Linked DNA regions of Rattus norvegicus. The protein of the gene in region 3 interacts with the protein of the main gene of each other region in a pairwise test. Links are inferred from orthologs where the notes say so. Each region holds a gene or a part of one and is shown on either strand. Other genes may lie near its edges.

The links.
Region 1: the proteins of Peg10 (region 3) and Lnx2 interact in binary tests that used the Homo sapiens proteins (3 or more experiments, as listed by UniProt). The link is inferred for Rattus norvegicus from reciprocal best matches to the Homo sapiens genes PEG10 and LNX2.
Region 2: the proteins of Peg10 (region 3) and Exosc5 interact in binary tests that used the Homo sapiens proteins (3 or more experiments, as listed by UniProt). The link is inferred for Rattus norvegicus from reciprocal best matches to the Homo sapiens genes PEG10 and EXOSC5.
Region 4: the proteins of Peg10 (region 3) and Ldoc1 interact in binary tests that used the Homo sapiens proteins (3 or more experiments, as listed by UniProt). The two-hybrid records come from large-scale screens. The link is inferred for Rattus norvegicus from reciprocal best matches to the Homo sapiens genes PEG10 and LDOC1.

Annotation. Positions count from the first base shown.
Region 1 is NC_086030.1:13,116,463-13,124,363, reverse strand, and holds the start of Lnx2 (ligand of Numb protein X 2), read right to left. Parts: upstream 5,226-7,901; 5' UTR 5,087-5,225; exon of another isoform or gene 5,068-5,086; intron 1-5,067. Other genes in the region: Polr1d (DNA-directed RNA polymerases I and III subunit RPAC2), read left to right, coding at 6,330-6,355.
Region 2 is NC_086019.1:90,293,279-90,300,947, reverse strand, and holds the start of Exosc5 (exosome complex component RRP46), read right to left. Parts: upstream 5,040-7,669; 5' UTR 4,957-5,039; coding exon 4,809-4,956; intron 774-4,808; coding exon 660-773; intron 1-659. Other genes in the region: Bckdha (2-oxoisovalerate dehydrogenase subunit alpha, mitochondrial), read left to right, coding at 5,452-5,559. UniProt on the Homo sapiens protein: Non-catalytic component of the RNA exosome complex which has 3'->5' exoribonuclease activity and participates in a multitude of cellular RNA processing and degradation events.
Region 3 is NC_086022.1:33,806,339-33,814,264, reverse strand, and holds the start of Peg10 (retrotransposon-derived protein PEG10), read right to left. Parts: upstream 5,240-7,926; 5' UTR 5,032-5,239; intron 961-5,031; 5' UTR 874-960; intron 1-873.
Region 4 is NC_086039.1:144,999,113-145,006,793, reverse strand, and holds the start of Ldoc1 (protein LDOC1 precursor), read right to left. Parts: upstream 5,028-7,681; 5' UTR 4,952-5,027; intron 1-4,951. UniProt on the Homo sapiens protein: May have an important role in the development and/or progression of some cancers.

The DNA.
Region 1 (7,901 bases), on a different chromosome or scaffold from region 3:
ATCTCTCCACTGAAGGTCTGCTAAGATCTGAATTTCTCCACAGTTAGAAACCCTGCTGCTTGTGTTTTTCAGCTCAGGACCAATCATGGGGCATGTGCTTAGAGATCTGGCAGGCAGGATGGAGCTGAAATCTGAAGTTTAAATACTGAAGTCACACAGAGGAAAACAGGGCAGCGCTCACGACACTTAAGGATGACTTCATCGAAAGGATCCCACATGATCGGATCCATGGTAACTTACACGGTTTAACTGCTAAGGATTCTGATGAAGAATTAAATTTTAAATTTAATTGAAGCTTTGTGGCTAAGATCTGATGGATAAGTGTTTCTCAGATTTACTAATAGCCAACACAAAAATCTTTATTATAATGAAGTACAACAGTAACCTGAGATTATGACCCTCAACCTTTGGTTGTAAACTTTTCACCACTTTAGGGTACCATCCCCCTTTGATAGGGTCTGTCTCTAGGATGCCCTGGCTGGCCTAGAACTCGGCATTCTAGAACTCCGTTTCTACTTCTCATTTCTATCCAGACTGAAAAACTCCAAATTTCCACTCACAAGTTTTCTCCTGAGGAAATGGCCTGTTGAGGTAGCACTCTAAAGTGCCTAGGCTAGGGCAATAAAACTATCTAATACCTAGCCTTCTCTGGAAACATTTCTGTCTAGATTCCCAGTCATCCCCACAGAGATAGCAGAGGCTCTCCCTGGGAGCTTTCCCAGGAACCAGGAAGCTGTGGTCAGTAACCTATGACCAAGGTTATACCCCGTGTGTCATGCACTTACTACTGAACCATGACCCAGAGGTCGTCTCTACCTTTGGAGAACTTACCACACCCCACAGCCATGGCAGTGAACTGTGAAAAGAGAAGAATGACAGCATCTATCTCACATGGAAACAGCTGGCTCTTAACAACCATGGGTTCACCCAGGTATCTTCTTAAAGGCTTGCAAACACTGTAGGGCCTCTTGTCACAACACATTCTCTTTTGTTTTCCCTCTGACCAAACATATGCAGAAAGGCAGACCAAAGCTTGCGGATTCATTCCTTCATGTATACACACACACACACACACACACACACACACACACACACACACACACACACTGGGGAATTTACAGTGAACAAAACAGATGGGACCTTTGCTCTAGCAAGCATACAATCTAAAAGATAGAAACTCTTAGGTTTTTTTCCAAGTCACACAAACCGGTCTTGGAGGGAGGTGTCATCCTGCAGTAGAGAACTAAAAGTCCTCTGAAAAACACATTAAGCTAATAGCTCTCATCTTCTGGATCCAACCAGTCCAAAAATTTACCTGAAATTACCAAAACTTTACTGTTTCTGCTGCTAAGGGAAGTTTAAAGGAGATTTGTTTTGTGAAACTTCCTAGGCTCTTTAACAGTCAAGCTGGAGAACTCTACATTTTACAATCCTATGTGTGAGGGGTGTGTGGGGGTGTGTGTGTGTGTGTGTGTGTGTGTGTGTGTGTGTGTGAATTTTTTAGCTGGCACCACTTTTTAAGTTAACCTATCTTCTGCTATCCTTCCTGCCTGTAGGAAGGCAGCTATGGAAAGAGCTGTAGTTCAGGAAGCAAGGGGGAAATGTTACACCGTTCTGCAGAGTAAGAAGGATTTGAGTTGGGGTGGGGGTTAGGAGGGGAGAGTGGAAAGCAGAAGAAGAGAAAAAAATCAGAGCCAACTGGTGTAGGAACCACAGGTCTTTACAGCAAAATCAATGTGGCAGGGTGTGGGTGGGCAGGCCAGGGTTTTGCTACATAGCTCTGACTGTCCTGAAACTTGAAATACAGACCAGGCTAGCCTTAAACTCTCAAAAGATCAGCCTGCCCCTGCTTCCCAAGCTGAGAAAAAGTGTATGTGCCACACCGAGGCCGGGTTTTGTTGTTTTGTTTTTGTCATGGGGGGGGGGGGGTTGTTTGTTTGTTTAGACAAGGTTTCCTGTGTATCCCTGCCTGTCATGGCTCTCACTCTGTAAACCATGATGGGCTCAAATTCAGGAGCTCTGACTGCCCCTGCCTCCCAAATGCTGGGACCGAATGCATGCCATTGCCACCTGGGCTGTTTTTGTCATTTTGTCATAGGATTTCACTATGCACCCACAGGCTGGCCTCAAACTCACGGCAGTCTTCTTTCGCCACAGTCTCCTGAATGAATGAGATGACAGTTGTGTGTCTCCACACCCAGCTCTGAAACGCACTTCCCACACCTGCTGTCCCACATGAACACCCCACCAGCACTGCTCTCCAGACTCCACCTTCCCCTGTCCCCCAATCTCACAGTTTACCACGAATCCAAAAAGACTGACTATGCAAAAGTCCTTTCTTTCTCTCTTCTTCACAGGCTTCTCTTGCGATGTGTAGCCAACATGCTGGGTTGACATGTCAATCACCCATGTGGCAGCTCACAGGACAGAGCCTGAGCCTGAGCCGGACTCCCTGTACGCTACCATCCCAGTTTTAAACTGCTCCTTCTCAAGCCACCATCATTCATTGCACTACCTCACTAATACTGTTGCCATTAAAGGAACAACTAATATTTATTCAGCGCTTGGAATTCAGCGCCACAGACTGTGTCGAGGGTATGACATGCGTAATTTCACTTGATCCTTACACCTTACTAAACAGTACTATGACTATTTCCTGCCTGTTAGGGAATCAAAACCAGATGGAATAGTAATTTGAAAGGCAAGTGGAGGGGGTTGGGGATTTAGCTCAGCGGTAGAGCGCTTGCCCTGGGCTAGCAAGCGCAAGGCCCTGGGTTCGGTCCCCGGCTCCGAAAAAAAGAAAAAAAAAAAAAAAAAAAAAAAGAAAGGCAAGTGGAAGAACCCGACTCCTCTTTTGCCTCCATAACCAGCTTAACCAGTCCATACTCACCCCCCCCCAAAAAAAAAAAAAAAAAAAAAAAAAAAAAAACCAGGAATCACAGGGCATAGTGGCATAGGCCTTTAATCCCAGCACTCTTGGAGGCAGAGGCAGGTGCATCTCTGAGTTCAAGGCCAGCCTGGTCTACAGAGTGAGTTCCAGGACAGCCAGGGCTACACAGAGAAACCCTGTCTCTAAAACAAAAACAGAAAGCAGACAGGCAAATCAAGAAACCAAGGATCAACGTCTTTCACTGCTCCTACCTAGTCACTCTCTGAGGAGTCCATACCGCCCGAACGCCACACCAGCTTTCTTCACCCGCTGATGACAAGCTTTGGCTGAGCTTTTCCTGAGCCATAGCCATGACTGTTTTTATTTTTTCAGGTTTTCAAACCCACCAGGCTAAAATGCTAAAGAGCTAAGAGCGGGTAATAAAGCCCGGCAAACACAGATAATATGCACAGAGACTTCACGGTAGCCCCATTCTGTTTCTCACTCTTGGGACCCCCACTGTCCCCCAGCTATCCCTATGGAATGCAAACCTCACCACAGCATCTTCCTGCTTGAAATGAACACCCCACGATCACTGACTGGATGAAGTGTCCAAACGTCTTCATGTGCTACACAAAATCCTTTCTTTTTAGTATTTCAACAGATATCTGAGGGTCCAGTTGTAGAACATACCATGAACCCTACCTAAGATGAACAAAAAAACCAGCCCCTGACCCCTATTACTTTAACCCCAAACATTGTGTTCTTCAGATTAACCATACGCACAGCAGATAATGTCACATTCTACAGCCATAAGCATTTAGGATGCTCCCAGAGAGAGCCTGTGCCAATTCCTCTGACACATTCTAGGCAGAAATGATTTTAAGTTCCCACATTACTTTGTTCAAATTACTTTCCGGTAGTGGACTAAGAAGTATACAGCCACTGAGCAACTTTGGGCAAGAAATGATCCCTTTCCTCAAAGTTGCCAAAGCGGTAGACACTGAGTAGCTAAATGTTTATACAATGAAAAGGCTCAAACTTGAAGATTAGAGGAAAAGAACACAGACTTAGTGGATGGACTAAATTAAAAGCAATGTGACTCTAGAGCTGTTCTGAGTTGGCCTACATTTGACCCCTTTGGGAAAACTCACATGGAATTTGGACAGGCTAAAATGGCAAAACCTTCTTAGCTCTGGCTCAACAATGATCTGCAGGCCAAATAGGACACTAGATTCCCCCAGGTTCCTTCTTTACCTGCCAAAGTCCTTTTTTCCGAAGGTGTGGGGGAGGGAGGGTGTTCAAATCTATCAAAGCAAACAGGATTGACCTACTGAGATCCAACTTCGTCTGTGCTGTGTCACTGTACAGGCTAGAGAAAAAGCAAATTGTGTCCTGGGAAGGAGGCCAATTTCTAAGTACTGTGACTACAAAGAATGTGACATTCTTAAAGTGAAGGCAGTTTGGATAAACTGGAGCTCACAGAATCCTCCAACTATCCTTGCCATTGGTTTCTGTGATTTTATTTTTAAAGAAAAATTGGCGGGGTGTGGGGCGCACGCCTCTCTAACCCAACAGCACTCAGGAAAGAGGTGGATCCCTCTGAGTTCCAGGCTGGCCAAGGCTACAGAGAAAAGAAAAATTGATTCGAAAAAGCCACGCGGAAGCGTCCTTAGGCTCCTGGCAAACACACAATCTTAAATGCAAACGGAAATACTAGAACACTCCATTTAAAAAAAAAAAAAAAAAAGCCCTTGTGTGAAACGTGGCAGAAAGCTTTCAAAAGCCAGCGATGTTTTTCCCCAAGAGGTGTTTTGTGCGCAAATGCTTCCAAATCGGGATTCATATTTTGGAAATTATACCCCCACGCTCCCAAACATGTCAAATCTGAAGAGAAAGGTGAGACTTCCCCCGCAACAGGCTGGGGCGGGGAGGAGGGTCTCTCTGCTCATCCCTTCCAGGGAACAAAACCAAAGGGCAGCTGGCTAGCGCCACTCTAGCTCCCGACAACGTGCAGACGCGAAGTGCAACAACTCGTCCTCAAACGTCCATGTCTTGAGAAGCGAGAGGCGCGCAGAACCGCACCGGGTCTCCTGGAACCTGCACCCGCACCGGGCCGGGCCAGACACCACGCGGCCCCCAGCGGTTCCCCAGATGGTCCCCCCTACCCTGACGCCACACCCCGTCACCGCCCGCACCTGAGGCGAAGTAACTCACTGACGGAAAGCGGCGGGCTCCCCGCGGGCGCGCTAACGAGGACGCTACCCGGCTCCGCTCTGCCGGGACTCACCGCCGCCGATTTCCTGGCGAGAAGCAAAGTCCGGCCAAGACTTTACTTCTCAACCGCCCCTGCTGCCTTTCCCCTCGGGGGCGAGCGCAGAGGCCCAACCCGACACGCACCTGAGCCAATCAACGGCGGGCGAAGGCGGGACTAAGAGCGGGCTTGGAGCCGCTCGACCAATCAAGGAATTCTAGGGGCCGGGTCGGCCCTGCTCATCACTCCCGAGTTAGAGTGAGCGCGTTCCGCCCTCCGCCATCGCTCCCGGCCGGATTCTCCCCTCAGACACACAGAGAAGACGCTCGGGAAGTGTCTGCGTGCACCCCTGGAGCGCCGCGCCTGGCGTGGGACAGCTGAAGGGAGGGGAGGGCTGCGGGACCAGGCTGAGGGAGAACAGGTGGCGCGGGGCGGCTGACGTGTAGGTGTGCAGGGCAAGAGGACAGCTGGGTGGGGCGGGGATCCAGCCTGGCCAGGGTCAGGTGGGAGAAGAGAGGATGCACCTGAGAAGGGCGGTTCCTTGGGTTCAAAGGGAAAAGGAGCTGCAAGTCCACCGCGTGAGCTCCGGAGGAAGGAGGGCGGTGCTCCAAACTCTCACTTCTCTCCCAAAAGAAAGACAAACGCTGCCCTTGCACCTATTGGAGATGTACATTTGCACCCCTGGGAGAAAATAAAAAGCCCACAGTATCGTCAGGAAAGTCACCTCTGCACACTAGTCTCTCTGCTTTTTCAAGGTTGCAATATGCTGGGTGCCCCAGGAAAGGCCCCTGAGGACTCCGGTCCCGGGAATAGCCAGCCATGGGGCAGTCCCGTTCCTCGAGACTCTAGCAAGTCAGAGATCCGACCCCGACGCTAAATAGCAGATGTCTCGGGGCAACAGGCGAGAAGCCTGTGATCTACGGTAGCACTCGGGGACAGAATGTGCACCGCAGCCGCCTGGCTTCCGCAGTTCCAGGTGAGCGGTCCAGCCCGAGCCTGGGCGTGGTCGGGGGCGGGTTCTGTTTTAGCCCCGCCCTTCAGAGGGGGCCCTGCCGCGCCGCTGCGGCTCCGCCTCCCTCCTTCCGTCATCCGCTCCTTCCGTCGGTGGTTTCTTCCTTCCTGCCTTGTCCCGCACCTTTCGCGACATGGGGAAGATCTTCCTTTTCGCCAGCGCCACCTGAGGATTTCCCGGAGCCGCCCCCCGCGATGGAGGACGATCAGGAGCTGGAGAGGTAAGGTTGGAGGCAAAGAGTGGAGTGGGGCGGCGGGTCGGGCCAGAGAAGCGGGTAGCGAAGGGGCACGCGGCCGACTGAGCCCGGCGTGGCGGCTAGGCCTGACCCCAGGCGCTGGGGAAGGGAGGAGAGAGAATAGAGCGGGCCGGGTTGGGAAGAGGGAGGAGCCGTGGGTTCATTTATAACAGAAAAGCCCAGAGGGACGCTAGCCATCCGGGATGGGAGAGAGGTAGGGAATCCAGCTGTAAGTCCCAAACTGCCACCACCCTCATTAGAACTGCCTCGTGTAAGGTCACGCACCGGGCCAGCCGTCCCGAGTGGCGGTCCTGGCGTGTTAAGTTAGCTAAAGTTACTGCAACTCCGCTCTGTGCAGACTGCTCGTAAATTCTCTCTGTCCGCCAAATTCTCCCTCCTATTAAACTTTTCACTTCCTTTCACTTAGTTTCCTTACCTCTTTCAAACGGAAGCTGTAACTGAGCCTGCCACCCTGATACCTTGTGGTTGCCATTTTTATGCTAAAGTAATCGTGTTTTTTATGCCTGTCAACTCCCTTTTCATCTAAAGCAGGGCCTACCCTATTATAACTCTGCCCCTTTCTTTGCTCTATCCGAAGATTTTTGCAAACAATTAACTTCGTGGGTTGTTTTTCTTTTGTTTTGTTTTTTTTCTGAGGTGGTACCCACCCCCTTGCTGGAGTCAAATGAAGTAGGGAGAAACGAGTTAAATATTTATGGCTAGAAGTGTGGAGGCAGGAAAATGAGGCAGTGAATCTTTAAGAGTTAATCAGAAAACGATATTCCGTATGATCTCATTCTTACACAAAAAAATATGTGTGTAGAAAAATATCAGGATTGAAGACCTCAATGGCTGAAGGCGAGAGGAAGACAGCCCTGGAAATGGTCCAGGCAGCTGGAACAGATAGACAGTGTGTGACATTTGTACTACACGAGGAGGACCATACACTAGGAAATTGTCTGCGGTACATAATCATGAAGAACCCGGAAGTGGAATTTTGTGGTTACACTACGACCCATCCTTCAGAGAGCAAAATTAATTTGCGAATTCAGACACGGGGTGCACTTCCAGCTGTTGAGCCGTTTCAGAAAGGCCTGAATGAGCTCTTGAATGTCTGCCAGCATGTGCTTGTCAAGTTTGAGGCCAGCGTAAAGGACTATAAAGATAAAAAGGCAAGCAAAAACGAACCCACGCTCTAGTCCCTCGTGCAGGGTACAAGCAGGACCACCCTCAGGATGGTACAGAGCCCAGAACTAGAATTGGTGACTACAGCATGTTCTGTCCTATAGGAAAATGTGGCTCTAGCTATTGACCCATTACAGCTTTTGGAATCTCTGCAAGTCTGTTTGCCTAATAAATTCTCGCTTTTGTTTAAACTAGTTTGAGTGGTTTCTCTTCCTTGAACCTAGATGAACCCCCAAGGATGGTGTCACCCCTTAATTGAACCAACACTATAAGTGAACAGATGTAATTGGGCCGAGTCAGAGGTTGTGATCACAGATCTTAAAAAGACTATTTCTATATGATCGAG
Region 2 (7,669 bases), on a different chromosome or scaffold from region 3:
AAGGAAGAGAGAGGAAGGCAGAGACGTGGCTCAAGAGAGGGTGGCTCGGGGTTGGGGATTTAGCTCAGTGGTAGAGTGCTTGCCTAGGAAGCGCAAGGCCCTGGGTTTGGTCCCCAGCTCCAGAAAAAAAAAAAAAAAGAACCAAAAAAAAAAAAAAAAAAAAAAAAGATTGTAGGAAGAGAGGGTGGTTCTGGTGGTCAGGTCTGTAATCTTGGGACTTGATCCCCCCGGCAGCGGGATCACAAATTTGAGGGCAGCCTGGGTTACAAAGAGAGCTCACTACCAGCTCAGAGGATTTGAGACTGTCTCAAAAAGTCAATAGGGCTGGCTGCATGGCCTCGCCACATAGCCTTAAATTCACCAGGGAAAGGCTAATGGCGTGGCTCTGGGCTAGAATGCCTGCCTGGAGCCCACCTGTGCGGATCCCGGAAGCCTAAGCTCTGCAGAGGGCTCGACCAGAATCCACCCTGGAGGAGCTTCTGCCTCACAGACGTGGTGCTCTGGACTCCATTCCAGTGCAGCAGAATCAAAGGCTGGGCAAAGAGGGAGGAGAGCAGTGCAGAGAGACTGGACATTCGAGCATCGAGGACTCAGGAGGTCCTGACGAGCCGGGTTCCTTTTTTTACGGGGTGGGGTGGGGGTCAGTGGAGTCCAGTTACCGGGCAGGCCGATCTTCGGCCTCAGGATCACTTCAAGGGTGGCTTTGTTGAAGATTTCTTTGCTGACCTTCACCTCGGCCGGCCCGTAGACTCCAGCCAGGACAGAGGTATCACCTGGGGGAACACGAGGGAGGCCTTGGTTACTCTGTGCCACCCTGAGCACTTCTTTCCTCTGCTCTCTCATTTTTAGGCGGGGATCACCCACCACTTGAGCAGGGGCACTGTCTTCCTCGGGGCATTTCTTTTTTTTTTTTTAAGGAGCTGGGGACCGAACCCAGGGCCTTGAGCTTGCTAGGCAAGCGTTCTACCACTGAGCTAAATCCCCAACCCCCCCTCAGGGCATTTCTGTGCCGATCAGGTGACTGGGTCTCACAGCAGCAGGAGGCCATGTGTCTCAGCATCGCACAAGAAGATGAAATAAACACGGACTTTAAAGAGAAGCAGTTCCCTTCAAACATGCAGGACACTGGTCAGCAGGGGCAGAGCTTACTGCGGACCTCAGCCATGGTGAATTGTTAGAGACAGTTGGGGCCGCAGGGATGGCTGGGTGGTGGTGGTGTGTCAACATGCACGCCGCTCTCCCAGAGGACTAGAAATGAGTTCCCAGCACCCCCATCAGGCAGCTTACAACCACCACATCACCCAGCTCCGAGAGATCGACACCCTCTTCTGCCCTTCATGGGCACTGGCACACACATGGCTCTCACCCCCGAAGTACATACACATCCCAGTGTTTGGGAGACAGACAGGAGGATCAGGAAATCAAGATCATCCTTGGTTCCGAGCTAAGTTTGAGGCCACCCTGAGCTACATGAGACCATCTCATAAGCCAACCAAACAAATCCCTTATTAGATATAATTAAAATATATTAGTAAAAGCATTTTAAAAGGACAAATGAACAAAAAAAGATTGTGATGTGTAGGGGGGGGTCTTAATTTCTGCATATTTTCCCAGAGTGGTTACAAATGGGTCTGGAGAGTAAAAAGTCTGGCTTCTGGTCCCGTCCGGGTCTTACTGGCCCTTGTGTGAGGAGTTTGTTAATGTCTGCAGGCTTCAGAGAGGCTCCCTACGACAGGAAGGCATTGCACTGCACAGCAGTCTCCACGTTTCTGACATAACTCCCGCTTTACAGCACAGCTGCACACTGATAAAATGTATGTGTACAGTGGATCACAGGTTGGGGCTGGAGAGATGGCTCGCAACCATTTGTAACTACATTTTTGGGAAGTTCACACTCTTCTGTCCTGCTCGGGCACTGGGGACATCCATAGGAAATCAATCATTTAAAAGTTGAGGGCTCAGGGATGTCACTCTGTGGTGGGGCATTCATGCTAAATCCAAAGCAGAAAATAGGATGACAAACCTACACGGGCAGCTTCCGGGGCTCTGTAGGTTTCCACTGGACTTTTTTTTCTTCCTTCCTTCCCCCGCCCCTTAAAAGATTTATTTATTTTATTTATATGAGTACACTGTGGCTGTCTCCAGACACACCAGAAGAGGGCATCGGATCCCATTACAGGTGGTTGGTTGCTGGGATTTGAACTGAGGACCTCTGGAGGAGCAGTCAGTGCTCTTAACCACTGGGCCATCTCTCCAGCCCTCCATTGGACTTTCTGCAGTCAGGTTCTGTGTGGTCAAGGCTGGCCTCGCCCATGCTGTGCAGCTGAGTGACCCTGGCACGAGCTGCTCCTCCTGCCTTTATTTATCTCCCTGCTGCTAGGATTAGGGGTTCAGTACCATCGGTTTTGTTTTTGTTGGGTTTTTTTCTTTTTATCAATTTTGCTTGTAAGGTAAGACACTGTGCTGGCTAGTTACTTCCTTTGCTTTGCATTTGGTAAACTCAGCACGAGTTAGCCATACCTGGAAAGAGGAAACTCAACTGAGGCAACTGAGGGACTGCCTCCATCAGAAGGGTCTGTAGGCAAGTCTGCAGGGGAATTCACACACTCCCGGACCCAAGGCATTTCACTGATTAACAACTGATATGGAAGGGTCCCACTCGCTGTGGGCGGCGCTGCTGTTGGGCAGGTGGTCCTGGGTTATAAATGAAAACAGGCTGAGCAAGCCATGAAAGGCAAGGGCTCCTCCATGGTTCAGTTCCTGCTTCAATGGACTTGGGGTATGTAGGCCAAACAAACCTTTTCCTCCACAGGTTGCTTCTGGTCATGGTCCTTATTAGAGCAAGAGGAGCCTAATGAGGTCAGCTATGAAGTAATAGGGTTAGTGTGTCATTTATCACATATACCCATCATTTGCACTGCTCACTGATGCCACGCCCCCTCCCATAGGGTGTTCTTGCAGGAGCCTTTGAGGTCAGATGTGTCTGCAACATTTTTTTAAAAAGATTTATTTATTTATTATATATAAGTACACTGTCGCTGTCTTCAGACACACCAGAAGAGGACATCAAATCCCATTACAGATGGTTGTGAGCCACCATGTGGTTGCTGGGAATTGAACTCAGGACCTCTGGAAGAGCAGTCAGTGCTCTTAACCACTGAGCCATCTCTCCAGCCCCATCTGCAACATTCTTTTTGAAAGTCTGCAAGGTCTCCAATTTGCACCAGGGCCCCGTGGTTTAGAGTTTTAGAACATGGAAGGGTTCCCATTCTATTTCTTATATCTCGAGAGACAGGAGACGCTGAGTTTAGCAAGTGAGCAAAACCAGGAGCCAGCCTGGGATGAGAACACTATTACATCTGCGGGTGCTTTTCCAAGGAAACCCAATGGGACAGGGTCTTAGCGCCAACATCTGCCCTGAAACCAGAAGTGACCCAACTAGACTCAGGTGCTTACTAGAGCTACACAGTAGCTGTTCCTGTTCTGCTGTATAAACTGTGCTCTCGGCAAGCAAAATAGTCTCTTCTTTCCCACCATCTCTACAACGGGGCTACAGAAATTCTCCCCTTTTCAGTCCCTAGGATTTATTTTATTTTTAATTATGTGCATGCATGCTTGTGCAAGCCCCCCCTCTCTTTCTCTGTGTGTGTGTGTGTGTGTGTGTGTGTGTGTGTGTGTGTGTGTGTGTCCCTGCATGCAGAGGCTTCTAATCCCCTAGCTCCTGAGTTACAAGTGCTTGACAGCCTCCTGAATAGATGTTGGGAACTGAACTTTGTCCTCTTCAAGAGCCACAAGTGTTCTTAACCACCAAACCATCTCTCCAGTTCCCGGTTGTCTCCCTTTTTTTTTCTCCCCAAGACAGGGTTTCCTGGAACTCCTCTCCACAAACCAGGCTGGCCTCGAACTCATAGAGACCCTGCCTCTGTTTCCCAAGTGTTGTGACTAAAGGTGTTATTTCTTTTCTTAAGCTCCTGTCAGTCTTCAACTCTTGTCCCATCTACCAGATCCCTTCCCAGGAAAATGCCTGAACAGTTGTCTTAACTGTCCTTTCTTGCTCTCTCTGACCCACCACTACCCCACACTAACTTACTAGCCATAAAGTGATCAGCTCTTAATATCTCAAACACAACTCCCCATTGTCAACTCCATCTTTGTCCTCTTCATTTGTCTACTCTGGTAGTTTTTTACCCTCCCATGACCTCTCAAAGTTGGTTGGCTGGACTGGGATACAGGGTTATGTGGGCCTCAGCCTCGAGATCTCTCTTTTCTTTCTATTCATTTACCCTGATGAGACGTGTATACCAAGGAAAGGCATGTTTTCTCAAATGATGGGACCAGAGAAGGGGAGCTACTTGTTAGCCCAGGATGGGAGGATCACGTTCAATTTTCAGAGCATTTACTTAGGTATATCACCTGCCACAGTAATTATATTTAAACCAGTAGTGGTGATGTGTCTGTCTCAAAGGGTATTTATGCAAATAAACACCTTAGCCTCAACCGATGATGTATGGATCCAGAAGTGTTTTTTAAGAAATCTAGTCAAGGATAATATTTGCCTTGGTGAAACACCTATTCTGGAATATTCACTCTTAGGAGAGGGGTCTTGCCCTGGATTTCTTCCAAGAGGTATTGACCAGCCTGGCCAAATCATTTCTTCTCGAGTCGGGAGGTGGGTATACGCAATATCTAGAAATAAATTCTCCAAGGAGGTGGGCGTACTTGGTTGCACACTACACAGTAACCGCTCTTCAAAAACCCTTCTTCGGTGAGGATGGCGCGCGCTGAGTTAAACCTTGTTAAAGTCGTACCTTGCAGAAAAGAAGCAGATCCATCCGGCCGGGACAGCAGGTTTTGCTCACAAGCAAAGTGCCGGAGGCTGCAGACTGGACTTCGAGGGCTGGACTCTGTTCCGGTGTCAGTGAGTACCTTGGCGTCTGCACGCTTTGCTCCCTCCATAGCCGCTGACCACGCGCGCTGGGGCTCCTACCGTAGCTTCCGCTCAGCCGCACGCGCAGTTCTACCGGCCGTGTACCTACCGCGCAAGCGCCAATCTAGGGCACTCCCGAAGTGGCCCTAGCACGTGGCTCGGCGTTTACTAACAATCTGGTCCTGCCCACCTCCACCTCCCAATTCTGGCAAAGCCATTGGAGAATAGGGAATAAGGGGCAGGACTTGGACTAGGCCCATTTTGCCCAAGGCCCCGGGCCCTGAACCCTGGAGGTTCAAGTGAGGTTGTCCTTTTTATTGCCTGATATTGGAACAACTCCAAGCAGACGACTGGAGCAATTTTAAAGAATAAAAATGGTCAACTTACTTATTTCTACGTCTTTGTTGCTAGGCGGTTGGAAGAAAATAGTGCGTTGGCCTAGTGGTGCTGAGATTTGAATAAGGCATCTGATGGGACAGACGCATGTCTATCTCCTGAGAAAGGAGGAGTGGTTACTAGCCAAGATGGCGGTAGCGATGTCCGCGGCCAAGATCTGGAGGCCGAGCCGTGGCCTGCGCCAGGCTGCCCTCTTGCTGTTGGGGCGACCTGGGGCTCGGGGCTTGGCTAGATTCGTGAGTACCTGGCCCCCACAGTGTCTTTCTTGGGGAGAAATAGAGACGTAACTGTTATTGTTACAGTGTGCGTGGGGCACCGCGGGCTGTGAAGGAAGAGCAGATTCAGAAAGAAAAGGACCGGGAAACTTTTTGAAGAGAAATTCAAGGGAAGGCTCCCTTTAGAGCAAAAGCAAGGCAGCTACTTGCGGGCTTCGATGGAAGGAGACGAGTAAGGGATGAGACGGGGGTTGAAAGGACAGATCAGGTTTTCATAGGGTTCTACATTACTTAAATTCCAATTGTAAAGGGAGTCGAGCAAGAAACTCGTTTGTTTCCTATGTCCCCTGACCAAAATTCAAGGCGAGGGACTTTTCCATGACTGTCATTTACAGAAGATGATCATGAAGGGAGACAGAGCGAGAAGTTCAAACAGGACCCTTTGCCCACGTTATTTTTTTTTTTGAGACAGGATCTCACCCACTCATCTGGGATGGCCTTTAGCTCACCCAGATGCTTAGATAGGTATCCGAACTGGAGATAGTCCTGTCCCAGTCTCCCAAGTCCTGATATTACAGATGTGCGCTACGGTGCTTGGCTGCCCACTTTTCTTGAAAACACTCGAGAAAACTCGGAATCTCTTTTGATCTATTGTTGATAAGGGCAGGATAACACTTCCAAATGCTGTTGCGATCTGGCGATGTACCACAGTGCAGAATGCTTGCCTCACACTTGCCACGTCCAGAATTTGGCTCCTAGCCCCGCGCTTTTTGTTTATCTGGATATGGCGACATGTGTCTGTAATTTCAGCGCTTGGGAGGTGGAAGGCAAGGAATTTGAGGCCAGTTTGAGCTGCATGAGACCCTCTCTCAAAAAAAAAAAAAAACCCGAAAAGATTTTTAAAAATGCTTTCCTTATTTTTTATTTCATGTGCATTGTTGTTTGGTCTGAATGAAGGTGTTGGATCCCATAGAACTTGAGTTAAATACAGACAGTTTTGGGCTGCCATATGGGTGCTGGAAATTAAACCCAGTTCCTCTAGAAGAATAACCAGTGCTCTTAGTCATCACTGAGCCATCTCCCCAGTCCCCTCAAAAAGATTTTTTAAAAAAGTCTAAGGCCTGGTGTGGTGATGTGTGCTTCTGATTCCAGGCAGAGGCAGGCAGATTTCTGAGCTCCAGGCCAGCCAGAGCTTCATCGTGAGACTGTCTTTTTTTTTCCATTAATTTATTTTTTCACTCCACACTCTGAATATCGGCACCCCCTCTCCTCCCAGCTACCCCCACAGCTCCTCTCGTTCCCTTCCACCACTTCTCCTTCGAAAAGTGGGGAGCTCCTCTCACCTCCCCAGCATATCAGGTCACTGCAGTACCATGCACCAAGGCCAGACAAGGTGGTCCAGCCAGGAGTAAGGAATCCGCAGTCAGGCAACAGGTTCAGAGGCAGTTGTTGGGGGTCCCACATGAAGACCAAGCACCACACAAGTGTGTGTGGGCCCAGGTCCAGCCCATGCTCATTCTTTAGTTGGTGGTTTAGTCTCTGAGAGCCCCCAAGGGTCCAGGTTAATTGACTGTGGTCTTCGTGTGGAGGCTCCATCCTCCTCCGGGGCCCCCAGTCCTTCCCCCAACTCCTCCACAAGACTACCCAGGTTCAGGTTAATGTTTGGCTCGGGGGAGGGGGTGTGTCTCTGAATCTGTTTCTATCTGCTGCTGGGTTGAGCTTCTCAGAGGTCAGTTAGGCTGCATTCCTGTCTGCAAGTATTAACAGCATCAGGGATTGGTTCCATGGGATGGGTCCCGACCTGGGCCAGTCATTGGTCAGTCACTCCCTCTGTCTGTGCTCCATCCATGTCCCTGCACATCTTGTAGGCAGGACATATTCTGGGTCAAAGGTTCTGTGGGTGGGTCCCTCCACTTGGAGTCTTGCCTGGCTACAGGCAGTGTCCATTTCAGGTGCCATATTCCCCACCGCTGGGAGTCTCAGCTAGAGTCGTCCCTATCAGCTCCTTGGGGCCTCCCCATCCCTCCCAGGACTCTGGCACATCGAGAGACAACTCAACCCCCCACACCCCCCTCTGTACTTGTTCCCCTCTGTGAATTACAGGCCAGCCTTGTCTGTAGAGTTTCAGGAT
Region 3 (7,926 bases):
AAAATTTAAATAATTGTAGTAAAGAACAAAAAGTTCAAAACTTTGTAATTAGACAGTTCAGCAAACTTTTAAAAAAGTTTAATAAAGTTTATTAAAGTTAAAGAAAATATGAAAGTTTGAGCTTATAAACAACTTTGAAGTTTAAAGCTTAAAACTTTAAAGTTTTGAAAACTTGGTACTTGGACAGTCTAGCAAACTTTTTAAAAAGTTTAACAAAGTTTATTGAAGTTTTAAAAAAACATTTGAAAAGTTTGAACTTGGGGTTGGGGATTTAGCTCAGTGGTAGCCCTGGGTTTGGTCCCCAGCTCCAAAAAAAAGAAAAGAAAAAAAAAAAAGTTTGAACTTACAAACAACTTTGAAGTTTAAAGCTTAAAACTTTAGAAAGTTTTGAAAACTTTGTAATTGGACAGTCTAGCAAACTTTTTAAAGAATTTAACAAAGTTTATTGAAGTTACAATAACTTTATGTTTGAACTTACAACTTTTAAGTTTAAAGCTTAAAACTTTTTTGAAAGTTGTTTGGAAAGTTTAAAACTTTTTAATAGTTACAAACTTGTAATTAAAAAAAGCTCACTACAAGTTTAGGATATAAAGTTTAAAACTTTTGAACAGTCATAAGTTTAAAGGTAAGTTTTTTCCTTTGATCAATCAAGGCAAAATGGGTACTAACTAATTTCCATGAAACTAAAAAGATAAAAACTTTTTAATTAGAAAAGTTAGCTAATATTTTAACCTGTTGAATATTTTTTTTAAAAAAAGGAAAACTGACATCCCACATGATACCTGTTCATCCTTGTCCCCTCCCCCCTGCTTTCTTAACAAACACTGCAACCCCCCACCCCAACCTTTTAAGCCCCTCCCCTGTGATAACCACCTGGAGATATTTTCCTTTTGTCTTAAGTTGTTCCTATGGCATTTCCAATAAGCAGAGCACACAGGTGACTAAAGTGTGACTTGTCATCTAGAAAAGAAAAAAGAAAAAAAAACCTTCAAAATATAAATTAAAACCTTTCTTAAGATGGTCTCAGAGAGGCCTAGTACAGACTGACTCAGGTCAGGAAGGTTTAGCCCTACTGGGCTGGGCTTTATTGTGGCCAGGTCTGGTGGACATTAACAGCTATAAAAGACAGCTAACTATAGGTCAGAATCTGCATTAGGAAACCAGCAATCAATCATTTAATTAATTAGTAAGATCATTTAAAGTGGGCTTAGAGCTAAGATAATGGGGAGGTGCTGTACTCCCACAACTTGGGGTGTGCCCCTCCCATCAAGATATTCAAGGGGGCTTGCTTTTGCTTTTTAATAATACAATGCTGGTTAAACAAATTAAGTGCCTCATTTGGCAGGTGAGGTCACCAGTTGAAGATCTGTGACCTTCACCACTCCCAGGCCTTACCCCTGGGGAGAGGGGGGACTTGCAATTTTGGGGTGGGACTCTACTCCAAAACTGAGTAGTTAGTTTTAATCGTAAAAAGTAATAGGATCTTGGGCAAACTGGTTAACAGTAATCATAAACAAGGAATGACAATGTTTACTGTTGGGCAGCACAGGTTGATGATGAGCAAGAAGCATTTTGACTTCATTTTAATTTCACTTAAAAATTGTGGCTCCTCAAATTCCCCCTTAAAGGGCTGGACTGGTTGGGGGGAATGGGGGGATGGGTGAGCTCCCATTCCTGAAAACTGAGTTCACACTGTATAAGCCAAGCTGCTTGAGACAGGACCATATTTATATGATAATTAAGTTTTAGTCAATTAAAAATAAACAAATAAATTTGATTAATTATTAACTCTTTAAAATGACTTCTTCCAAGTTTTAATTCCCCTGAACACAAAGAGCAATAATAGTAAGTAAAATCATATGTAAATGTCTCATTAGGAAATGAAACACCATTAGTCAACTTTTAGTTGCTTTAAAATCTCCTTTTCTTAGTATTACCTGGATTATTTGTGCAATATAATTTGCATACATTTTTTCAGTATTTTGAATCTCTTTAATATACAGACAAAATTTACAAAGCATGCATTTCAAGCTGTAATTATAAGCATATATACATCCCACAGATAGTTATACACTAGGGAGGGGCATTAAGAAGGCAAGAGCTTGGTGGAGCAAAAGCCCCTGTTTCTCCCTCATAGTCTATAATATATGGAACCAGATTTTTTTAAAATTGCTTCATTAATTTAGAAACATTTTGGCTTCTCTGTAAATTATACAGATGTTTAATTAAGCCAGTTGAAACAATCTATGTCTTACAATGTAACCACTCTGTTACATCATGCAAAATTTAAATGTCAATATGTAGCATTAATAACCCACTTGCCCCAAGTGTAAATTAGCTTTTTATGAAAAAAGCTAATTACTTGGGACACCAAATAATTAGCTTTTTATGAAAAAAGCTAATTACTTGGAATAACAAATAATTAGCTTTTTATGAAAAAAGCTAATTATTTGGAATATAACTTAGTTGATTCACATTATAATTACAGCTTACATTACTGAAGTTCAAAAACATACTTTTTTAAAAAGAAACTTTTAATTGTGTTTTCAAAAGGGGCAGCAACTCAACTCAGGACAGCAAAGCACCATAGGAAAAAGGCACAAAAATCCAAAAAAGCCTGAAGGCCAGCAGCAAGACAATAATTTATTCGGACTTCAACACACAATTAATTAATCCTTACTATGCGCCAAGCACACCTTTACAAGCAGGCCAGGCAGGCCCAATCACCTAGAATTTTTAAGAAACAAAAACAACAACAAACCTGTTCTACGCTAATAAACATCTCTCCCAGAAGCCAAGCTATAACACCAAAGCCACTGAAAACTCCTAAGAAACACAGTGCTCGTCACCTCTGTCTTTGTAGTTACCAAAGCATTTAATTTCAGGAAGTCCAATGGTGTCTTGATAAAATAATTAAATTTGAAAATATTAAATTTAATTTTTAATTTAAAATAAAATTAAAATTAATTGCCTTCATTGCTTTAAGGCATCAGCTACGTCTTCTTACTAGTTCCCATATCCCACTATCAGGAGTTTTAATTGTGGGATCTTTTTATTTAATAATGCAATGCACTTATTAAAAGTGCATTTGCTTGCCAGGTATACTTATTATTGTGACTGTTAATTATTCTTATTATTCTTATATTTACTAGACACCTGTGGACAAAAAGTAAAACCGCGCAACAGAGAAACCGCAGGGAGGCGGGGCTGTGCAGCCAGGCTCAGACAGGGCAGAGGCGCACTTGCGCAGTGGAGGCATACCTGAAGGGAGGGGCTGCGGCCCACAGTGCGCAGGCGCAGGCAGGCTGAGGGAAGGCGGGGCTCTAGGCCTCCTCAGAGGAGGAGCTATGGGAGGAGCTGGACATTAAGAGAGGCGGGACCTGGGCCGGCCTCCTAGGAGGAGGCGGGCTAAGGGAAAGGCGGGGCCTTGTCAGGCCGCCTCAGAGGAGGCGGGCCTTGAGGGCGGGGGCTAAGTAGGCTGTCCCAAAGGCATCAGCACTCGGGAGGTGGGGCCTGTGGAAGCATGTTCTGGAAAGGCGCGCGACAGGCGACGCGCGCAGACGAGGCGCGCAACCTCTCTGCAGATGAGACAAGGCTAGGATGGGCGGGGCAGGTCTGAGACTGGCTGCTACAGGGCTGCAGAATGTCTGCATGCCTCCCCCCGCCCCCCTACCTCCCCGACCCCTCCCAACCACCAAATTCCTTCCGTAGAGCAAGAGCAAACCCCCACCTCCCATCTCGGCTTCGGACCCACCCAGCAAACCGGACTGTCTCCACAAACTGTTGCTGGACACCAATTCGTGCCCCCGAGTCTATTGCACCGTCACCTCAATCAATCACCACTAGACAAGGCAGCCCATTCTGCCATCTCCAAAATCCAGCACCCCTCCACTCTACTGCCGTAAGCAGGAGTCCCGTGGGCAGAATGTTAAACACCAATTTTTGGCCTCTCAGGGCTCCATTTTGTCTACCACCACCACCATCATGCAGATGGACGTCTGACCAGAAAACGCAACGCGTTTTGATCCGAAAGGTAAACCTGTGTCGCCTCTTCCCCGAGGAGAGAGTTGTACTCTCTCGTCTTTCCAACGCTACACTACTTTCCGCGTAGCTCGAGTCTGCACGTCTTTTGCCTCTGCCGCAGTTTGTAGCGCATTTCTAAGCCCACTCTTGTTGCGCTTTTGCATTTTGTGACTCTCCTGCAGCTCGGAATTGAGTGCGTGAAGCAAGGAGTCGGTTTGTGTATCTCTGGAGTTCGGGCTGGTTTGTGGCGCATGAAGCGCCGGTTCGCCCGTTCGCCCGTTCGCCAGTTCGCTCGTTCGTACAGCGAAGCGCATGAAGCGCCCATTAGTACACTGAAGGCATGAAGCGCCCATTAGTACATCGAAGCGCATTAAGCACTCATTAGTACATCGAAGCGCATGGCGCCCATTAGTACATCGCAGCGCGTTAAGCGCCTATTAGACGATCGAAGCGTAAGAAGCGCCCATCAGTTCGTGCCGCATGGAGCGCCTATTAGTATTTCGTAGCGCATGAAGCGCCTATTAGTATTTCGTAGCGCGTAAAGCGCCTATTAGTATTTTGTAGCGCATGAAGCGCCCGTTAGTTCAGCACAGCGCAAGAAGCAGCCGTCTGCAGCGCAACTAAAGCGCTTATCCGTTTGTAGCGCGGCATTCAAGCGCCAAAGAGTAGCGGAGTAGCCAGCCACTTTGCAGCGCATTTGAGGAGCTCATCGCAATTCGGTCCGTAGCTCATGTGCGTCTGCAGCTCATCGCTGTCCGCAGCTCATGCGTCTACTGACCAATGCTGGACGCGAGTCATGGAAACCGAAGTCCCGGACCCAAAGCCGTGAAGACTTGCTTTCCATGCTCTCGTCTCAGGATGCGGCCACTGAAGGCAGGCGTGACAAAATTCGCGAGGAGATATTCTGGGGGCGCTACTTTATCTCCCGCAGCTCCTGGGAAGAAAAATCGGGGATTGCGTGTGATCATTTTCGGGTAAAAAAAAAAAAAATCCTCACCGCATACTCACCACACGAGGATCCTCTGCGATGACACGAAGGATGAGGGGTCCGGCGACGGCCGGGCCCACTGGGTGACCGCGGTCCGGAGAAGGCTCCGGACCGCAGCCCACTCAGCGGACCTTGGCGAAGCTTGGTGGACCTTCTCGGTTGGTGGCTCTCCTCAGGTCGTAGTTGGTCAGGATTCTTCGACACACACCAACTGAAGTTGGAAACGCGTGTACCGAGAGCCCGGACTGCTTGCCTTATATAGAGAGATCCTAGGAGGGGGGCGCCAAATCCCAGCGTGCTTCGCGAGCTGGCGGGGGCGGAGGGGGGGCGCGTGGGCGGGCGCCTGGGGGGATGGGTGGGGGCGCGGCATGCACCGCTTTGGCCCGCCGCTAGGGGCAGTATGGGCTCAGGAAGGGGGGTGCACGATGCTGAACTGGCCAAGCTGGGAGGAAAGAAGAAAGGGAGGGGAGGGGAGGATCGAGGACGGACGGCTTAGGCAGGCCAAGAATGCTATTATTCTGGTGGTGGGAGCTGGGAGACCCTTGTGCTTGGACGGGAAAGGGTCGGGGGACACTCAAGATGAGCCCCGCGACCACTGGCACATTCTTACTGACAGGTTAGTGGCCTGCGCGCGACATGGAGGTTCAGGGGCCCACAGGCCGCCGCCTCACCCTCCCCCACTCGGGTTCTGGGGTACCAGGGCGTGCCCGAAGGGTGCTAGTCCTGCTCTATGCCCAATGCGCCCCCCCAGCACCCCTCTTTCAGGACACCCTTCAGCCCACCTCCTGGGCCAAGTGGGTCCCTCCCCAGGCTTGACCCCTGGCCTTCTCTTTCTGCACCCCCACGGCCCCTCCCTGTCCAGCAGGGCAGGAATTCAGCTCCAGTTTCCATTAAGGAGTGTACCCCACCTCGCCCCCCCACAGCCTGGTGGTGGACATCTTCTGATCTCTGGAACAGACTTGGGGGTCGCTGCCCCTCGGGGTGGGGGTGGGGGTGGGGGGGTGGGGGCTTTACCCCACAATTGAGACTCTCTGGCCTAGATGTGAGGCAAAGGGCATGGCTGGCCAGCTGCTTATCTCTTACACAAAGATGTACGTCTTTTCTCATTTTCTGGAATCTGGTGGAGAGAAAGACCACCAAAATGTGACATTTAAAAGACCGAATCTCGCCCCCACCCCCACCCCGCTCCCTGCCTTTTTTTAAAGCGTATTTCCTGGTGGCGCGAACCTGATTTTTCTTAGGTTTTTACCGAACACGGAAGCAGGATCATGAAATTCTGGGAGCCAAACGGCGGTGTTCAGGTCAGGGTCAACCATGGCTGGGGGCCGGAGATGCTGCAAAAAGCACCCATTGCCCTACTAAATATGTTACGAAGGGAAATCAAGAACAATTGAAAACAGCTGTAGATGCTTCCAATGTTCTTGGCCGGCTTTGGAAGCTTTCAGCTACGGACTTTGTGAGGTGATTACAAGGTTTACACAGAGACCTCGGCTTCCCCCCCACCCCCGCGCCGTTATGTGTTTCTAAATCTTGTGGGTGAATGAATGTTTTGGGGCGCAGTAACTGTGGGTTCAAACCCTTGAAACAGGTCACCGAGACTAGCTCCAAGCATTTGCTTGGTTCGATTGATATAAACCTGTTTAAAAAAAAAATCTTTTTTAACGTTAGGGAAATTTGCAAAGGAACAAGATATTCAAATGCTGACGGGGAAAGGATGTGAAATAAAACCTTAATGCGGATTCCCGCGGAAGCTGCTCAGAGTCTTAGGTGCGGAGAAAATTAACAATCTGTTGCTAATCTTTGTCCAAAAAGTTAAGGTTAAAAGGAAAATCAAATTGTCTACAAGTGAGTTGGATTTATGAACCACAGCGAAACCTATTTGTTTTTCAAGACTAAAATTGAGTTTATTTCAGCAACATTCCCACAGCTTTTTCTTTCCTTAGAGGAAAAACAAGACTCTGACCCATTGTGTGCGACAAGGTAGAAGGGACCTTGGGCTGTACAAAGCATTAAGCTTTTTAGCATTAAGCAAAAAACTCATTCATTTACTGGGAATCTACTTATTAGAAGTTAAGTGTTGACCTCCATAAATAAATAAATGCAGATTTCCAAGAGCGAAAGACATTTATCTAGGAAATTGGGCGAACATAATCATTTTTTAATTTTAAAATGTTTATCTTTTTCTGCAACACAGACTGATTCCAGGATTTTGAAACATTGTTTATTTAACAGTCCCTGTTCGGATGACTGCGGGACTGTCATATGCTTAGAAGCAGTTTCTTCTCTCCCCAAAGTAAATTCACCTAGCTGTTCACTGATAGCATTGGTTTTTAACAAATGAGACTTACAGCAGACATGGATAAAACATAAGGAAAATCCATGTTTTAAAAATCACCCACCTTTCAGGGTTTGAACTAATTTGACTTTTTCATTCAAAATTTTAACCAGTATTTTTTTACTTATTTATTTACTTATGGCTTAAAAAGTGGAAATGGCTTTGTTGGTGTTTTTGTATTAATAGTAATTCTCTCATGGTCCAAATTCCAGAGGGTACTTTAGTAAGGCAACCAAGATCACCTGTGACATCCTCGGCTTGCTGTGGTGCCTGAAAACTATGGTTTGCCTTTCAGACTTCCCTCTATGCTAACAGAGGTACCTGAAGAATATGGTTTTTTTTTTCCATAGGGTTGTGTATATTTTTTCTCAAAATTAAATATTAGATCAAATTAATCCCTCTCCCCTCCCCCCTGTTTTCTTTCTAGGTAGTAGATTTTGAGCATCAAATAACACTCATTTTACAATTTTCTTTGAAAATAAGCTACATTAAATTAATGTTTTCTGATGGGTATATATGAACAGCAATAACACCTAAGTATTTCAAATCATCAAGCTGAGCCGTGGCTCGCTTTCTCAGG
Region 4 (7,681 bases), on a different chromosome or scaffold from region 3:
CCTTATAAGTATGCAAAACTATATCAGATGCTAAATGCCTGAAGCCTGAGGTTTTTTGGGTTCTTATCCCTAATGATTGTACTGAATTTCATATTTGGGTCTGGATTTTATACGAATAAATTATTCTCTAAGTACATAATTGAAGAACATTAATATTCAGTCTTTGACACAGACTAGAATCAAAGCCAAATTCATTTATGAACAAGAATTAGTTAAACAGAAATGTCACTTAACAATCCAAAAGCTGTAGTTGACCAACATGCATGTAACTCTGCCATTTATTTAGGACTAATTACTAAAAAAGTAGCTATGTTCTTTGATACCATGTTTTAGGAAATTCAGTTGATTGTTTTATTAGGTTTACAGAAGGTTTTAGCTTTATGAGATTCCTGTGTAAGTTGTTGGCCTCAATTCTTGTGCAAACAGAATCCTGTTCACAAAATTCTTTCCTACAATTATGTCATGTACAATACTGCCTAGGTTTCTTTCAGCAGTTTCAGCATTTTAGACTTTACATTAAGTTATTTGATCTATGTGGAGTTGATTTATGTACAAGGTGACATATATAGGTCTAATTTATTTCTTCTGTGTAATGACAACCAGTTTTTCCAGCACCATTTGTTAAAAGTGCTGTATTTTCTCCAATTGAACTTACTGGCATCTTTTCAAATATCAGAGGAGTGTGGTTATGTACATGTACTCTTTTGGGGTCTTTGATTTTGTTACATATGTGTGTGTGTGTGTGTGTGTGTGTGTGTGTGTGTGTGTGTGTGTGTGTAACACATGGAGTGATAATGCTCTCCTAAAGAGCCATCCACTATCAAAAGAAAAAAAAAAACTCTGCAAGACATGAAATTTCCTTTCAAGTTGTTGGTAAGGAGAGTCTGAAAAACTCCCCAAAATAATATAAGCTACTGCTGTGGCCCTTGGTTTCTTTCTAGAACATGAAATTAAGACACCATATGTTTTGGACACAGGACCTGGAAGAATTAAAGTGCATCAGACCTGAAAGCTTTATATCTGGTTATTAACTTTCCTAATACCAAAAGATTGCAATCAACCAATAGTCTTATTCAGTCACACAGTCTTTAAAATCACTACAATGAGAAGACAGAGGAAATAATCCCTATGGTGAAATGGTGGCTCTTTGTTCCATGATAAATAACAGCTAATTGAACTCAAGGCATGTACTTTGCCTGGTACTGCAAACCTAGCCAACTACATATGTATCCTAAAGGAAAGCAAACTACTTCTACTTTCCCAAAGCAGTAGAATTTCTAACACTGTAAATACTTATCCTTATACTCATAGAGTAGTTTAGCTCTAATCTTTCTCAAAGAAGCTTCTTTTTACAACATATTGACACCATTACAGGAAGCTACACTGAGGGAAATGCAGAGTACCGTAACCATGGGATATTTAGTTCCAGTTGATAAAAATACAATAAAATCCCTACGTCTAAAGCCCAGAATATAAGGGAAAGAGGACAGAAAGATTATAAAAGTCATAGAACCAAGAGGTTTCAGTAGGAGTATGTCTTCTAGATATGATAGGGAAGCTATACCTATGATGACTTAAAAATATGGCTATTTACACAAGACTTGTAAAAAATAACATCACCTGTTGGCATGCCATTATGTTTGTATGTGTTTAACAATAATAAGTTTTTAAAGAAGCCATAAAATGATATAGACTGGCAAGAGAACATGAGGGAGGTTATAAAGAAGCTAATGGGGTAGAATTTTGTAATTGTGTTTTAATAAAGAGCAAATCAAATTAAATTAAACAAATATATCAAAGAATTGTTCATCAAATTTCAAAAGTAATACAGTGAAGAAAGCATAACCATATTAGAAAGTGTTTGAGGAACTATTGGCTATAAATGTGGAAAATATGAATGTCAGTAATTCTAGTGTATACATAAAATTGACACAAAACTATTCATATACCTAACTATAAAAGTTAAAAGTATAAATTCCTTAAATAAACATTGTAGAGCATCTTGTGATCTCAGGTTAAATATTTGTTGTTTGAAAAGCATATCAAAACACAATTCTTGAAAACCATATATTTGACTTGAAATTTAAGGCTTGTATTCTTGAAAACATAATTAAAATATAATTATATGATAGGCTATAAAATATGTTATGAAACTCAGATTTTAAAATTACATATTTTTTTTACTGGCAGGCTATTCAAAGTACATGAAAAACTTTAAACATTGAATAATGAGAAAATAGAATTTAACATGAAAAAATATGTGAACCAACATTTCCAAAGAGAAAATGCACCAATAGAAATCACTGGTGAAGATGCAGAATATCATGAAGTTCTAGGAAAAAAGAGGGTGAAACTTCGAGATACAGCCCTGCCAGATAAACAAGAAAATAGTAAGGAAAATGTGAAAATGTCACGTGCCAGTAAGGGCACACAGAATTGGCATTAACACACTGATGCTGGAATGGAAAATTATACAAACTGAAAATGGCAGGAAAAAAAAATACCATCATACTGTATATGTCCATTTTCTTTTAAAGTACTTTTGTTAGTTATTTAAGTTCATACAAGTTGAGCATATTCACCACTGTCTCTTCTAAAACCATCCAGATTCATGCCCTTTGTCCTGCCCACCGAACTTTGTGGGGTTTTGGTTTGGTTTTGTGTTTGGGGTTTTGTGTTTTGTTTTTAACTCATCCAGTCTGCTTTGGGTTATCTTTATATTCTTGGGTATAGGGTCATCCATTAGACTTTAAGCCACACCCTTAAGCAAAACTGATGCTTCCTTTTTTAGAAGCCATCAACTGACAATCGTCTTCACATAGATGTGAAATATACCCACCTCTTCTCCCCGTGGTGAAATTCTGTTGGGCTTGAACTTACACGGGTTGTATACATTCAGTGACTGTGGGTTTCATGTGAAACCACATAGTTGTTCCCAGAAAGTACTGTTTCTTTGTCCTTATCCACATTGACAAGCTCTAACATTCTTTTTCACTCCTTCTTCTGCAATAATCCCTGACTTGGGTGAAGAGGTATGATTCACTTATCATATTTGGGCTGAGAATTCTGTAGTTTATTACTCTAGTGCACCGGAGCTGCTTTTAGTTCTTTATGTTAGCACCATTTACTTCAAAAAGAAGCTACTCCGATGACGGTGATGAGGGTTGAACTACCCACAAATCTACTAGCATAGTGCTAAGTTTTATACTAACACTGTGTCCATTTAGCAGAATAATAATAGCAAATTCTTCCCTAGGGACTATGAATTACCTGATCAAAAGTTCTTGCCCTCAATAATTGTGCTAGTTATGTGTTTCATCTTGTGGAACAGGCCTTAAATGAAAAAAAATAGTTTACTACATTTAAAATATCCATGCCACCATTGTACAACTGAGTTAGTTACTGATTATTTTTCCATTCTGTTAACGTACATAGCACCTTTCAGCAACATGGAATTTATCCAGTAAGAATGAAGCTATCAGATGGATACCAGTTTGACTTCTTTCTGTTCTATGACTCAAGTATGCGGTGTCATCAGAAATAAGGTCTTACTGTCAAGTTCTGGAGGATAACCAAGAGCAATATCAATAGCATTTAATAGTTGGAGGTCTATGGGACTTCACTGGCTAACAGCTCCAATATATGTGGGAATAGGTTTCCATATGACTTTGTACATAGATCTTTTGTTATTGTTCTATGTATATATTCTTCTAACCAGTTTACCCATCTCCCACCTTATTCATTCCTCCTATTTCACTATTCCCTTTTCTCCCTTTAAATGATTGCATCATTTAATTGGTCCCTTAAAAGCATCCTATGCCCCACCATATGTCCTTACTAGTTTCCTGACTTCCATGGGCATTTCAAAATAAATACACAAATCTGAAGATGCAAAACTAGCATCTGCAACAAGTAAAAGCAATCAACATTTGTCCTTTGGGGAGGAGGGTGTCTGTTTTACATCATTCAGAATGATTGTTTTCAAATACATGCATTTACCTGAAAAATTCAACTTTAGTATTCAATGGGTGAATGGTATTGCATTGTATAAATGTATTATATTTTTACCATCCATTCATTGGTTGATGGACATCTGGGAGTTTCCATTTCTGGTTATCATAAATACAGAAGCATTGAACATGAATGAGACAGTGTCTCTTTAGTAAGATATAGGGTTCTTTTGGTATATGCCCAAGCAGTAGATTAATTTCCAGTGTTTTGAGGAACTCTACACTAATTCCACAGTGAACACACTGATGAATAACTTCAACAAGTAGTGAACAAGTGCTTCCTTTCCCCAAATCCCTACAAGTATTTGTCATCACTTGCTATTTGTATCTTAGTCATTTTGACTGAAGTAAGAGGAAATTTGAAAGTAGTTTTACTTTGCATTTCCCTAATGGCTAAGGATGTTGACCATTTAACAAAATGTCTCCGTCATATTCATTTCATCTTTTGAGAGCTCTTTGTTTAATTTTACGCCCCATTTTTTACTTACATTGTTTGTTTTCTTGATGTGTAGTTCCTTGTTTACTCTAAATATTAACGTGTCAGATATATATGTTGTTGAAAATTATAAAAATAAAATGCTGTCTTATACCCTCTCTAGGTCCGGCACCACAGTACCCCCAAGATATCTGATAGATATCCCAAACTCAGTCAGCAAAGCGTCTCACCTGCTCTGCTGCATCCCATATCACACTGCCGAAGGCCTCTCTGAGCCTGGAAGAAATCTCTCTACCTATCTAGGTCCCAAGGCAGGTTTCCATGCCAGAAACACACATCCCAACTCCATGTCGACCCAGACAAGCCGCCCCACACTTCCTTACATTTAAATCTACACATGAAAGATGATACAACACAATAATTTTTGATCCAATTGATAAAATACAATTGCCCACCTAAACATACAAAGCCCATTACACATCCATCCCTTAAGAACATATATAACCTGCTGAGGTACAGCGTGGAATCTAAACACAGGCTTCCAAATTGTTCTGCCGCGGCTTCGCTCCTCTCTCCTCCCCTCTTCCGTTTCTGTCTCCTCCTCTTCCTTCAAAACTTTCTCCCGCCCATCCTTCCTTTTCGTCCAATGACAGGCCTCATTCTATCTTGTACCTGCCTCACCAGTGACATCATCCCACATACATAATTGTTAAAGTTTTTCCCATTCTAAAGGCTGCCTCGTTACTTAAGTGATAGTGTAGTGTCTTTTGTTTTACAGAAGCGGTCTAGTTCATGAGTTACCATGTATTAATTGGATTTAATGTATTAACTACTGGGGAAAATGCATTCCTGTGTCAGTAAATTCAAGTATAATCCAAATATTTTCCTCTACCAGATTCAGACTATCAGGTTTTATGCTGAGGACCTTTATCCACTTGTAGCTCAGTTTCAAGCAGATTAACAGATAAAGATATAGTTTACACTCTCTATGAATAGCAAGAGAAACTAGAAGAGATAATATCAGCTCCGTATCCTACAACAAAAAACAATAAATGGAATTAGAACCGAAGGGCAACGTGATTATTAGAGAAATGAAAATACTCTAAAGTTGAGGTTAACTTCTCATTGTATAATTTTGTAAATTTGTTGGAAATGTTAACTATATGTTTACTGTAGGTAAATATTTTGGCTAACAGCACAATAAAATTGTTTTACTATCAAGCTATGCAATCAAATTATTGTTCATTTCTTTTTTTTTTATTAACTTGAGTATTTCTTATATACATTTCGAGTGTTATTCCCTTTCCCGGTTTCCGGGCAAACATCCCCCTCCCCCCTCCCCTTCCTTATGGGTGTTCCCCTCCCAACCCTCCCCCCATTGCCGCCCTCCCCCCATAGACTAGTTCACTGGGGGTTCAGTCTTAGCAGGACCCAGGGCTTCCCCTTCTACTGGTGCTCTTACTAGGATATTCATTGCTACCTATGGGGTCAGAGTCCAGGGTCAGTCCATGTATAGTCTTTAGGTAGTGGCTTAGTCCCTGGAAGCTCTGGTTGCTTGGCATTGTTGTACTTTTGGGGTCTCGAGCCTCTTCAAGCTCTTCCAGTTCTTTCTCTGATTCCTTCAACAGGGGACCTATTCTCAGTTCAGTGGTTTGCTGCTGGCATTTGCCTCTATATTTGCTGTATTCTGGCTGTGTCTCTCAGGAGCGATCTACATCCGGCTCCTGTCGGTCTGCACTTCTTTGCTTCATCCATCTTGTCTAATTGGGTGGCTGTATATGTATGGGCCACATGTGGGGCAGGCTCTGAATGGGTGTTGCTTCAGTCTCTGTTTTAATCTTTGCCTCCCCCTTCCCTGCCAAGGGTATTCTTTTTCCTCATTTAAAGAAGGAGTGAAGCATTCACATTTTGATCATCCGTCTTGAGTTTCGTTTGTTCTAGGGATCTAGGGTAATTCAAGCATTTGGGCTAATAGCCACTTATCAATGAGTGCATACCATGAATGTCTTTCTGTGACTGGGTTAGCTCACTCAGGATGATATTTTCCAGTTCCAACCATTTGCCTACGAATTTCATGAACTCGTTGTTTTTGATAGCTGAGTAATATTCCATTGTGTAGATGTACCACATTTTCTGTATCCATTCCTCTGTTGAAGGGCATCTGGGTTCTTTCCATTTTCTGGCTATTATAAATAAGGCTGCGATGAACATAGTGGAGCACGTGTCTCTTTTATATGTTGAGGCATCTTTTGGGTATATGCCCAAGAGAGGTATAGCTGGATCCTCAGGCAGTTCAATGTCCAATTTTCTGAGGAAACTCCAGACTGATTTCCAGAATGGTTTTACCAGTCTGCAATCCCACCAACAATGGAGGAGTGTTCCTCTTTCTCCACATCCTCGCCAGCATCTGCTGTCACCTGAGTTTTTGATCTTAGCCAATCGCACTGGTGTGAGGTGAAATCTCAGGGTTGTTTTGATTTGCATTTCCCTTATGACTAAAGATGTTGAACATTTCTTTAGGTGTTTCTCAGCCATTCGGCATTCCTCAGCTGTGAATTCTTTGTTTAGCTCTGAACCCCATTTTTTAATAGGGTTATTTGTTTCCCTGCAGTCTAACTTCTTGAGTTCTTTGTATATTTTGGATATAAGGCCTCTATCTGTTGTAGGATTGGTAAAGATCTTTTCCCAATCTGTTGGTTGCCGTTTTGTCCTAACCACAGTGTCCTTTGCCTTACAGAAGCTTTGCAGTTTTATGAGATCCCATTTGTCGATTCTTGATCTTAGAGCATAAGCCATTGGTGTTTTGTTCAGGAAATTTTTTCCAGTGCCCATGTGTTCCAGATGCTTCCCTAGTTTTTCTTCTATTAGTTTGAGTGTGTCTGGTTTGATGTGGAGGTCCTTGATCCACTTGGACTTAAGCTTTGTACAGGGTGATAAGCATGGATCGATCTGCATTCTTCTACATGTTGCCCTCCAGTTGAACCAGCACCATTTGCTGAAAATGCTATCTTTTTTCCATTGGATGGTTTTGGCTCCTTTGTCAAAAATCAAGTGACCATAGGTGTGTGGGTTCATTTCTGGGTCTTCAATTCTATTCCATTGGTCTATCTGTCTGTCTCTGTACCAATACCATGCAGTTTTTATCACTATTGCTCTGTAATACTGCTTGAGTTCAGGGATAGTGATTCCCCCTGAAGTCCTTTTATTGTTGAGGATAGCTTTAGCTATCCTGGGT